Linked DNA regions of Macaca fascicularis. The protein of the gene in region 1 purifies or fractionates together with the protein of each later gene. This does not show direct contact. Links are inferred from orthologs where the notes say so. Each region holds a gene or a part of one and is shown in the gene's direction. Other genes may lie near its edges.

The links.
Region 2: the proteins of NCBP1 (region 1) and DDX39B purify together in Homo sapiens (affinity purification with mass spectrometry; 6 studies listed by BioGRID and IntAct, with this or other methods). This does not show direct contact. The link is inferred for Macaca fascicularis from reciprocal best matches to the Homo sapiens genes NCBP1 and DDX39B.
Region 3: the proteins of NCBP1 (region 1) and LIN28A purify together in Homo sapiens (affinity purification with mass spectrometry; 3 studies listed by BioGRID and IntAct, with this or other methods). This does not show direct contact. The link is inferred for Macaca fascicularis from reciprocal best matches to the Homo sapiens genes NCBP1 and LIN28A.

Annotation. Positions count from the first base shown.
Region 1 is NC_088389.1:60,461,482-60,465,128, reverse strand, and holds part of NCBP1 (nuclear cap-binding protein subunit 1), read left to right. Parts: intron 1-112; coding exon 113-215; intron 216-1,022; coding exon 1,023-1,116; intron 1,117-2,421; coding exon 2,422-2,525; intron 2,526-3,647. UniProt on the Homo sapiens protein: Component of the cap-binding complex (CBC), which binds cotranscriptionally to the 5'-cap of pre-mRNAs and is involved in various processes such as pre-mRNA splicing, translation regulation, nonsense-mediated mRNA decay, RNA-mediated gene silencing (RNAi) by microRNAs (miRNAs) and mRNA export.
Region 2 is NC_088378.1:140,189,005-140,192,751, forward strand, and holds the start of DDX39B (spliceosome RNA helicase DDX39B), read left to right. Parts: upstream 1-1,210; 5' UTR 1,211-1,264; exon of another isoform or gene 1,265-1,813; intron 1,814-2,032; exon of another isoform or gene 2,033-2,110; intron 2,111-2,550; 5' UTR 2,551-2,682; coding exon 2,683-2,893; intron 2,894-3,747. UniProt on the Homo sapiens protein: Involved in nuclear export of spliced and unspliced mRNA. Component of the TREX complex which is thought to couple mRNA transcription, processing and nuclear export, and specifically associates with spliced mRNA and not with unspliced pre-mRNA.
Region 3 is NC_088375.1:208,719,892-208,723,638, reverse strand, and holds the start of LIN28A (protein lin-28 homolog A), read left to right. Parts: upstream 1-1,031; 5' UTR 1,032-1,159; coding exon 1,160-1,190; intron 1,191-1,647; coding exon 1,648-1,844; intron 1,845-3,747. UniProt on the Homo sapiens protein: RNA-binding protein that inhibits processing of pre-let-7 miRNAs and regulates translation of mRNAs that control developmental timing, pluripotency and metabolism.

The DNA of each region.
Region 1 (3,647 bases):
ACACAAATATCTGTGTATAGATGTGAGCGTACCATCTATTTAGCATTTGAGGTAAGGCACCAAGGGATTGCTGTACTTACATTTTTCTATTTTATTATAAAATATTTTTCAGATGAAGGATTCAGTTTTAACCCATTGAAAATAGAAGTCTTTGTACAGACTCTGCTACACTTGGCAGCCAAATCATTCAGCCACTCCTTCAGTGCTCTTGCAAAGTATGTATGAGTACAGAGCCTTTCTTGAGGGTTTGGAACTTTGCTTCATGAACACCAGTGGTATAGTAATTTTTACCTAAGATTGTTGAATATGAAGATCTTAATAATGTATAATTGGATACAGTGGGTTTGGGTTTGTGGTAGCTAAAATCTGTATCCTAAGGCTTCCATCAGTCTGTTTGTACAGTTGGCATATGTACATGGTAAGCGCTTTTTTTCATATAGACATTTAAAGTAGTGAAAAACCTAGATTTTTAGGACAGTCATATGCAGTTGGAAGTTCCCACGCTAAGTATCTTTGCCAAGCAATGTAAGAAGAAATTAGAATCAGCTACATTGTTGGGAGCCACCCAAAGGTTGACATCTAAAGACAGATATTTTTAACTTGTTAGACAGGGTCCAAAGGAAGAAAGAGCACATAGATTTTCCTCCAACCAAGCAGAGAAACTGAACATCTCACCCCATCTCTGCCTCCAAGGCTTTATGTTACTTGCAGGGTTCCCACAGAAGATGCAGTTTGAATATTCCACCATGTTTGAAGACAGTTCCTTAGTCCTTACCTATTCTTATAAACTGTAGCCCTGGGCTAACGGTAGTATATTGTAAATGTCTTGAGATTTTGTGACAGCTTCCTTAAAAACTATGAATCTCTAATCACACTTTTTGCATCCTTAATGGTTAATACTTACAGTTATTTTGCATTTGCATATTGCATTATAAATTGAGTAACATTGAAAAGGCTTTGAAAACACTGAAATGTTTAACGAATAAGTATATATGATATTTTTTTCCCACCATTATCAAAAGGTTTCATGAAGTCTTCAAAACCCTAGCTGAAAGTGATGAAGGGAAGTTACATGTGCTAAGAGTTATGTTTGAGGTCTGGAGGAACCATCCACAGGTAAAAATTATTTAATTAGACATGTTGAAGCTCTGATTATATAGGTATAAAAATAAGGCCGTTAATTACTACTGTTTTGTTTGTAAAACATGAAATTTGACTCTGCCTAGATAATGGTTTTTAGATCTAATTCTTTCAGTGCTATGGGAGTAATGATGTTTGATTCATTCTTGAAAGAGCAAGCATTATTGTGATTTGGTTTTGAACTATAATATCTCAACATATTTTAAATGTTCAGCAAGAAGTTTATCTAGTCTATCCAATTTCTAAATACAAGCTCCAGATTTCTCAAACCTTGATATATATTGTGTATTACAAAGAAACATTTAAATAAATTTCATAAAACAGTTGAGTTTTTAATGATAAAACATTGTTTTACATTTAACTTCTGAGGTTCCTCGAAATTATATATTTTTTTGAATAGGTATTAGTAACTGAAATTTAAATTTTTTTTTTTTTTTGGAGACAGAGTCTCACTCTGTCACCCAGGCTGGAGTACAGTGGTGTGATCTTGGCTCACTGCAACCTCTGCCTCCCGGGTTCAAGTGATTGCCCTGCCTCAGCCTCCCGAGTAGCTGGGATTACAGGCATCCACCACCACATCTGGCTAATTTTTGTATTTTTAGTAGAGATGGGGTTTCACCGTGTTGGCCAGGCTGGTCTTGAACTCCTGACCTCAGGTGATCTACCCGCCTCGGCCTCCCAAAGTGCTGGATTACAGGTGTGAGCCACCATGCCTGGCCAGTTTTTTCAAATTTTAACTGTTACCATTCAGAGTTTTTGTTTAGTCAACCTGTTTCTTGTAGTGCTAGAGCAAAGCAAAGGGAAGAATAAATCTTAAGATCTAATGATCAGGCAGGGCGCGGTGGCTCTTACCGGTAATCCCAGTGCTTTGGGAAGCTGAGGTGAGTGGATCACTTGAAGCCAGGTGTTTGAGACCAGCCTAGGCCACAGAGTGAAACCCTGTCTATACTAAAATAACAAAAATTAGCCGGGCATGGTGGTGCACACCTGTAATCTCAGCTACTCAGGAGGTTGAGGCAGGAGAATTGCTTGAACCTAGGAGGTGGAGGTTGCAGTGAGCCGAGATCGTGCCCCTCCACTCCAGCCTGGGTGACAGAACAAGACTCTGTCTCCAAAAAAAAAAGACCTAATGGTCAAATTGATCAATCAGTTCTACAGCCATCAAAACTAGATTTTATAGCCCTAGCCCTCCTATTTTACTTTTATGGTAGCAGTGTCGTGGCACATATACGTGTGTATGTGTGTGTGTGATTTACTTGAATAATTCTTCTCTCATTGTAGATGATTGCTGTACTAGTGGATAAGATGATTCGTACACAAATAGTTGATTGTGCTGCAGTAGCAAATTGGATCTTCTCTTCAGAACTGTCTCGTGACTTTACCAGGTAATATGAATTATTTTATGAAACTTGTGTTCTCTAAGAATTGATATATGTGTGGTCTCTTATACATAAGCTTCAAATTCTGGTCCAAACCAGGTTGATATTAATATACTGTGATCCAGTCTGGTCGGATTGGACATGGCAAAAATTCCTAGACAGTGGAAACATACACAGCCTGCATCTCTTAGCAGGGGCTCTTAGCAGGGACTCTCTTAAGTTGCAGCATCTCTTAGCAGGGACTCTCTTAAGTTGAATCAAGACTAAGCTAGTGAAGTAGAAGTCCTGTTGAAGGATCCAGACTGTTGGGAGAGAAAACTAGCAAGAGCCAGCTATGTGCAGAGTCTCAGCTAGTCCAGATGGAAATCAGGAAGTGTTCCAGCTTCTGTGGGGATGGCACCTGGAATGCACACCAGGAAGTAGGAGAAACCAAAGTCAAAGTAGATTAAATCATGGAGGTATCTGGGAAGGCTTGGTGATTACCAAGACGCCTGAGGGATGGGGGAAAAGGGGTTGTCACCACAGTCATAATCTTAGGTTTAATGCAGAAGACTCATTCTGCACTCATTCCCCCTAAAGGAAAGAGTTTTTGCTGTTTGGTTCTTATTTGTGAAGTTCACAGACTTTACAGTTGATAGGACCAGGACAGCAGGAGTTGACACAAAGCAGGAAACTAAAGCAAATTACTTGTAAAAACATAAAAATCCATCACAACCTTTAACTTTTCCACTGTATCTGTTATTGCCAGAGGACACTGATCTGAAATATACTGAATTGTTAGGGTGATAAGGTATGATCTAAGGTTGTCATACCAGCCAGGTTGGCCTTCACAAATAAAGACAACAGAAGGACATTTTCAGATTTGTAAACTCCAGAAAACTAACCACCCGAGTATGTGTTAACCGTTGTCCTGAGTGATTTACATTTTCAGTTCATTTTATCCTTACCGCATCACCATAGAGGAGGTTCCATTATTGTCCACATTTTACAGAATAGGGAAGTGTCACAGAGTGCTTTAGCCTGCCCAAAGTCACACAACTAAACACAGAGCCAGCATTCAAACCAGGCATTCTGGAATCTGTGTAGTGCTCAGCAGCTCCATCTGTTCTTTTAACACCTAGCTCAAAT
Region 2 (3,747 bases), on another chromosome or scaffold:
GGCTGTAACCTCACTAGCTGTACTGCTTGGGATATGTTGCTTTGCTTCTGTCAATAAGATGACAAGAACGGTACCTACTCCTTAGTATTAAAAGATTAAGTGTGCTAACAGGGAGAGGGTCAAACGTTTGTTGTTTTATTACACAGCAGGACATCAGGTCTTACTTTTGTAGCTCCCCATCTCAAAGACAGGGATGGCAAATGTTTCATTCAGGAAAAAAAATCCAGGTTGAACAATGGGGCTGTTGGGGTGGGGCCAAGAACATTCTGCTCGAATTAACAGTATTAATGGGCCTGGTGAGGTGGCTCACGCCTGTAATCCCAGCACTTTGGGAGGCCGAGGCAGGTGGATCACCTGAGGTCATACATGGGTGAAAACCCGTCTCTACTAAAAAACCAAAAATTTGCTGGGCGTGGTAGCGGGCGCCTGTAATCCTAGCTACTTGGGAGGCTGAGGCAGGAGAATCGCTTGAACCCAGGAAGCAGAGGTTGCAGTGAGCCGAGACCACGCCATTGCACTCCAGCCTGGGCGACAGAGCGAAACTCTGTCTCAAAACAAAAAGAAAAACAGTATTAATGGAATGTAGTATAACCCTCAAGCCCTACTATTGACACTTGGGGCCGAATCCAGACCCCGTCTTCCCGCTCGGATTCAGAACACCTTCCTGACTCCCTGGCCCTAGGGCCGCAGCTACCTCGGACAGCATCCTTTTGGGAAAATACCGCCCACTAGCCCCACGACTGGGAAAGAGTCGGGCAACGCCCCTCCCCTCAGCTAGGGCCTGCCGTTTCCTAGTGCTTGCCCAGCCGCCCTCAGGTCACCTTCACTACCGGGCCAAGGACCCCGTGGGAACTCGCAGCCCTCGCCACACCGGTTCCTCGCGCATCCATGGAGTGCCTAGAGAGAAGACCTGCATGGCAAAAACCTAAACGAAGAGATGAGAGGCATGGAGAGGAGTACGACAACAGAAGAAAGATAACAGTGGGAGGAGACGTTAGTTTCCTTTATCCGTTTTGTTACTGGCGGTAGCAGGGAAGTTAGAAACGGTTTTAAAACAAATTTCAGACAGGCATTTTCCAAAGGCAAGCCTGGAGCGCACGGATCTGTACAACCGCGGAAGGCCCCGTTTCCGGTCCCTTGCGCCTGCGCTCTTGCAGCCAAGAAGGCGGGAGGCTGGAGTAGGGAGAAGCCTGCAACCGGAAGTGAAGGCAGATTTCCCTCCTTCGTCGCTGTTGCTGCCGCCATACGCGCTCTGCCTGCTTAGGTAAGCTTTGGCGTTCACTACAATCCGTTGCCATCTGCGCTTCTTCGCACCCATCCCGTCACATGGGTTCCTGATACCCTTTTCACAGGCGATCGTCTGGTCTCTGGGGCCTAGTTGGTTCCCCATTTCCGTAGCTTGCATCCCTTTCGAGAGCAAAGAGCTCTTGGGGGAAGGAAGGGAAGCTAAGGGGGGGCCCAATCCAAGATGGTGTCCTCGGCGCCATTGTGTTCGTTTTGCTCCCTTCTTCCAGTAGGTTCTTTTCATATTGGAGGCCTCAGCATCAATGAGAGGCGGCGCTAGGCGTCCCTTGGTCTTGGTATTTGCGGAGGGCGGGGCTCTTATCACCTTACTTGTCCTTTCTTGAGCCCTTTCTTGGCCCACGGTGGGACTGGGAGGAGGAGCCGGTTTTTGGGCCCAGTTGGATTTTTCTCACCTTGACTCGCCCAAGTTAATTTGGAGTGCCTTACAAGTGTTTACTACTGGTGTCATTGTATGTTTCTCCAAAAGGAGTCTCACCTTCGTAGCGCAACAGTGATGTCAGACCACTTGGTAAAGATCCTGTTAAAGCCTGGGCGGGGATTGCCTTTCTCTGTCAACTATTAACTTTGTTATTGTAGGGTGGAGACATGGATTTTTTTTTTTTTGGTGGCCGAGCCATTTGTCTTGCACCGCCCCTCCCCCCCATGCTAATTACACAAGGCTTTCTTAAACAACGGAAGAGAGGATACTGAGAAGTGGGAGGCTGAGAGCTATGGGAGGTGGACGGCGGCCATATGATGTTTTCTTTTCGAAAGATGAGCGCTTTGCGCAGTGATGACCCTCATCTATCACCCTTGACTGATGGCTGCTGAGTTAGGCATCCATAACGGTGGGATTATAATAGGGAAAGCACAGTCTTCCTTTGAGGACTTTCCAGGACTCTGCTTGTCATCTCCATTTTCCACTTTACTAAGTTATTAATCATATTTTATCTTTTATTATCTATTATATTTCCTCACTGTTATTTTCAGATTAAGAATTTATAAGTTGGTCTTCCCCTTCCAACTTTTCTGGTTTCCGCTACTGTGATTGCTAATCTTGTTGGGAACCTGTGTCCTAACCACTTTCGCTGGTGCTGCTTTTTCTGTTCTCTTGTATTTGCTTTTCGTTTTTATGTTGTGTATCTGTTTTTTTTTCCATGTAAAAGTTTCCTAGTTTAGGGAAAGTGGGAACTGGGAATGGAAAAGAGGTGGTGAAGGCTCTGCTCGTGACTAAGTCTTGCTTTTTTTTTTTTTCCCCTTCCCCAGCTCTTCTGTTAGAAATAGTATCTTTATTTTCCTTTGCTGTTCCTCAATCCCCTACTCTTCACCCCTTGTTTTCACCTGTTTTGCGAGAACCCATCCAGATCCCCCTTCCCGTCTTCCCCTGCCGGCCCAGTTATGGCAGAGAACGATGTGGACAATGAGCTCTTGGACTATGAAGATGATGAGGTGGAGACAGCAGCTGGGGGAGATGGGGCTGAGGCCCCTGCCAAGAAGGATGTCAAGGGCTCCTATGTCTCCATCCACAGCTCTGGCTTTCGTGACTTCCTGCTCAAGCCAGAGTTGCTCCGGGCCATTGTCGACTGTGGCTTTGAGCATCCGTCAGAAGGTAAATTTTCTCTTGGGCATGTAGTGCTCATTGGGCTCTTTAAGGGTACAATAAAAAGATGTGTTTGTTGTTGCTCAGGTGGTAAAAGTTTATACTTAAGGCTAGATCAGGGTCAGGTGCAGGGGCTCACGCCTGTAATCCCAGCGCTTTGGGAGGGCAAGGCAGGAGGGGTGGTCACTTGAGCTCGAGTGCAAGAGAAGCCTGGGCAAGATAGGGAGACTCCTGTCTCTACTAAACGAAGCAGGTGAAGGTTGAGGCTTCAGTGAGCCGTTATTGCACTACTGTACACCAGCCGGGGAGACAGGAAAAAAAAAATCAGGAGATAAGTATCGAAAACGATTTTGGATAGAGGAGGATTATACAGACTTGTTCTTTCTTTCATGATAGCACCAAAGTGCTAATTATCCAAAAGTAGCTTCTAGGTCTGCCATTCATTCTTGTGACTGACTTCTTTTGTCTGCTTATTTTTAATTTTGTCATTTGACTTGTAATTTTAAATTTCCAGAAAGGTCCTGATTGGACCTGTAGTCTCCCTCTGTTGGGCCAGGCCAACTGTGGCCTCTGGAAACCTCTATGACTGGTTTAGAGATGACTGGCTTCTGGGTCAGGTACCAAGTCCTTCATTTTGTCCCGGGTTGTTGTTATGTGACCCGAAGTATGGCAACCTAAGTAGGAGAAATGTCTTTAGCAGGTATTCAGATGTCATGAATTGTTACAGATTAAGAAAAATAAGGACAGAGCCAGGAGCATTGAAGGTGAGCGGTTGGTAGATGCAAGGGGGCTGTTAGTAGGACTGGGAAGGCCTAGATCTGGAGGAGGCCAAAGCTGGGATGAATTAGGAGAGTCTGATTTTG
Region 3 (3,747 bases), on another chromosome or scaffold:
CCCACCAGCCCACCCAGTCCCTCTCTCAGCAGTGGATGGGGATGGGGTGGGGGTGGGACGAGAAGGCAGCTGGCGGAGAAACAGCTTCAAGACTCTTTGGGTTCCTCTTGCTCTTCAGGGAGCTTACCTGGGGCTAACTTTAGACACACAGGTTTGGAGGGAGGAAAGAGGGAAGAATTATTTACAACGAATCAGTTAAGAGCACTTTCTCTTTTCTAACTGGGGGAGGCCCAGAAAAACTCTGTGTCAGAAACTCTGGGAGGCAGACATTCAGATGTAGTCAGAGGCAGACAGACTTTGGAAGGCAGCGCTTTGGTCAGGACAGACCAGCCCTGTGTGTCCCCAGCCTCTCCCCCCTGCTCCCCCATCCCGGGCTTCCTAGTGTCCAGAACTCCAGGTCTATCTAAGCACACGGGGGTGGGGGGTGAGAACGGGTCAGCGCCAAGCAGCCGGGTCAGCTCAGAGGCCTGAGGGGGAAGAGAGGGGGAGGGGCGCTCAAGAGCTGGGGGAGGGGGAGGGCCCATTCATTTCTCCCTTGACAGGTGGTTTGTGTTTCTGATTGGCCAGCGCTGCCAGGCTCACACCTCCCTCCCCCAACTCTCTGGAATGTATAATTATCTGCGCGGGGGGTGGGGGTGGTGTGTGTGTTTGTGTGTGTGTGTGTGTGTGTGTGTGTGTGTGAGCAGTCACGTGGTTTTAAAACTACCCCCCCCCACCAGGTCCCCCACCTGTATCTGCTTTGGGGACCCCTATTGAGTCCAAAATGCAGGATCCCAAATTCCGGGGTACTCAAGCCTTCTAGAGCAGACAGCCCCAACTCCAGATGTGTGTGTGGGGAGGGGGTGTCAAACCTCAAGGTTCTGAGAAGGGACACCCCAGAGGTGTCAGAGACCAGAGCAGTGGGGGAGGGCCGGAGCTGGAGCTGGAGGGAAAGGGAGGGGAAAGGAGAGGGAGGGGAGGGGAGGGGGCTGCCCGCGGGGGGTTGGGTCATTGTCTTTTAGAATTTGGGAGCCTTTGAAAAGCCGTGGGCCCTCCCACCGCTATTGTGCGGGGGAAGATGTAGCAGCCTCTTCTCCGAACCACCCCTTTGCCTTCGGACTTCTCCGGGGCCAGCAGCCGCCCGACCAGGGGCCCGGGGCCACGGGCTCAGCCGACGACCATGGGCTCAGTGTCCAACCAGCAGTTTGCAGGTTCGAGCTCGGGACTTAGCTGGGACACCTTAGGAGGCAGGGGCGGCCAGAAGCCACGTAGAAGGAAGGTGGAGAACTGACTCCAAGGCTGCCCAAAGGACCCCAAGACGGTGCGGCCTCCTTCTTCATAGGGCCGTCTCTGGAGCAAGGAACCTTGGTGTTCCAGTGGCGTGCGCGCCAGACTACGTGGGTGGATGGAGGGGAGAGGTTTGTCTCGCCATGAGTCTCCGGGAAACGCATTGTGGGAAGAGGAGCAAACTTTCGGGGCACCACTGTCCCGGTGTACGCTAGGGGAGCGCGGGAGGCGACCGGGATAGGTTTCTTCTGTTCCTTGGTAGCTGCCCCCTCCTGACTGTCCACTTATGGGGTTGGACACTCGGGTCTCCCTGCCTGGAGCCCGAGACCGCCTTCCGATTCCGTGCCCCCTAGCTGAGTGCCTGGCCCTCCCTCTCTCTAGGTGGCTGCGCCAAGGCGGCAGAAGAGGCACCCGAGGAGGCGCCGGAGGACGCGGCCCGGGCGGCGGACGAGCCTCAGTTGCTGCACGGTGCGGGCATCTGTAAGTGGTTCAACGTGCGCATGGGGTTCGGCTTCCTGTCCATGACCGCCCGCGCTGGGGTCGCGCTCGACCCCCCAGTGGACGTCTTTGTGCACCAGGTGAGACTGATTGCGGTAACTTTGTCCAGGGAAGGGCGTCTAGGTGCACGTATCCACGGGTGGGCTCCGGGTTCGCTGTTGAATTGAGGGCCTTCGGGAACCCTCATTATGCGTCCCTGTCTTTGCTTCGGCACCCCAATTCTGAGTCCCTGTTAACTATCTCGGGGGGAGTAGTTGGAGGCAGCACCAATTATCAGCACCCCCGCCCCCTTCCGGGAACCCCTCCGGCTCACCACGTGTCTATTACCTCTTTCCCCTGGGAAGGGGTAGGGGGCAGGGAGGTGACCCCATGTGGCAGAAACTAAGGTTGTATTGTGCTTGCCGGTGGGGGGAGGGCGAGCAGGCCGGCCAGGGAAGCACATGCCGGGCCTGAGCCGGGCGCCCAGCGCCTCCAACGTCTGAATGGAGCTCAGAAGGCGGGAGAGAGTGAGGGCAACTGGCTACTGGACCCAAGGGGCATAAAGCCGAGAAGTCAGCCACATCCCCTTTTTAATGCAGACCTCACCTGGCTGGTCACTAAAAACTGGGTTTGGCCGATCCCTGAAGGATCCACATGGGAGCTTGTAAGCTCAGGACTGGGGTCTTTGCTGTCCACTTCCCGTGAAGAAGGAAAACCCAAGGAGCCCTGGCCTTCCTTACATTCCTGGGCCAGGCTGGGAGGGAAGTGGATAGGTCGCAACCCCAAGTTCTCAGTTAAAGCAGGGCAGCACAGTAGGGGGTGAAATTCAGTGTCGCAGGGCAGGGGGTGGAGGGAGGCTGGCCTCTGGACCTATTCTCCGCTTGGCATTTATGGCCCCAGACAGCCATTGATTGCTGTCTCAACATTCCTGGCCTCAAACAAGAAGCCAGAGACTTCAGGTCTCCCTCCTCCCAGGCTTCCCCTTCCTGAATATCCTAGAGGCATTCTGGTGGTCCTGGGCCACCAGCTACCCATAAAGACCATGGAAAGGAAGTTGCTTGCTGCCTGTGGCCCTTCCATCTTTGGAGGTTTGCGGCTGGATCTGGAAAGAAGAAATTGCTAATCCCAGATCGTGTAGGTTGACACCCAGGCCGGGCAGGGAGGGGTTACTTAAGGGAGGTTGGCTTTAGGAGGTGTGGGGGAGGGGAAAGGAGGATGTGGGGATTAAGGGCTGGAGCCTGAGGGATGGCATTCTTGGGGGGAGGGGTGGGGAAGGGAGATGCTGGATGGACTAGTTGGAGGCAGCAGGGACATCTTTGAGCACAGCCTTCAGTGAGGAACAAACCAGGGGAATAGATGCAGAGAGATGGGGAGCCACTACTTAGTGCTGGGGCCATGGGGTCAGTGGGCTACTTGAACATCTGCCAAGAGGACCTGTAGCAGGATACTGAGCTGACCCCTTGCAGCATCCTGATCCCCCCCAACCCCCCATTAGACAGCTAGTTTCCCACTGGTGGCTTTTCTCCCTTCTCTGTATCATTTACATATGTGAATGATAACCCACAGGAAGTAATTGTGGGAGAAAGAAGGGAATTGGCCTCTTTAGATCTATTAAATCACTTTATTACAGGAACCAGCTTTGAATGGCCCTCCTCAGCAGGGTAGCAAGCCTCCCCCACTCTCCCATTTATCTGATCACAAAGAGATTAAAATCTTTCCTGGTCTGGGGACTGGACAGCTCCCCCAACTTTGGGAGGCTGGAATAAAAGAGTCAGACCCAACGTTTCCTCATCTCCCATCCAAAGGCTGCCTGATAGGGAAGGGCTGAGGGGAACGTATCCCCTCATCTTTTGGGTTCCTTGGTGATATACATACCCCAAGGAAGGTGGTTTTTTGTTTGGTTTTGTTTTTTGAGCAAATGGGGACTTGGGCCTAGCAGGCTTCACCTCAGGATTTAGAGCAATTGGAAAACTATTGGATGGCATAGAGCATGCATTGAGTCTA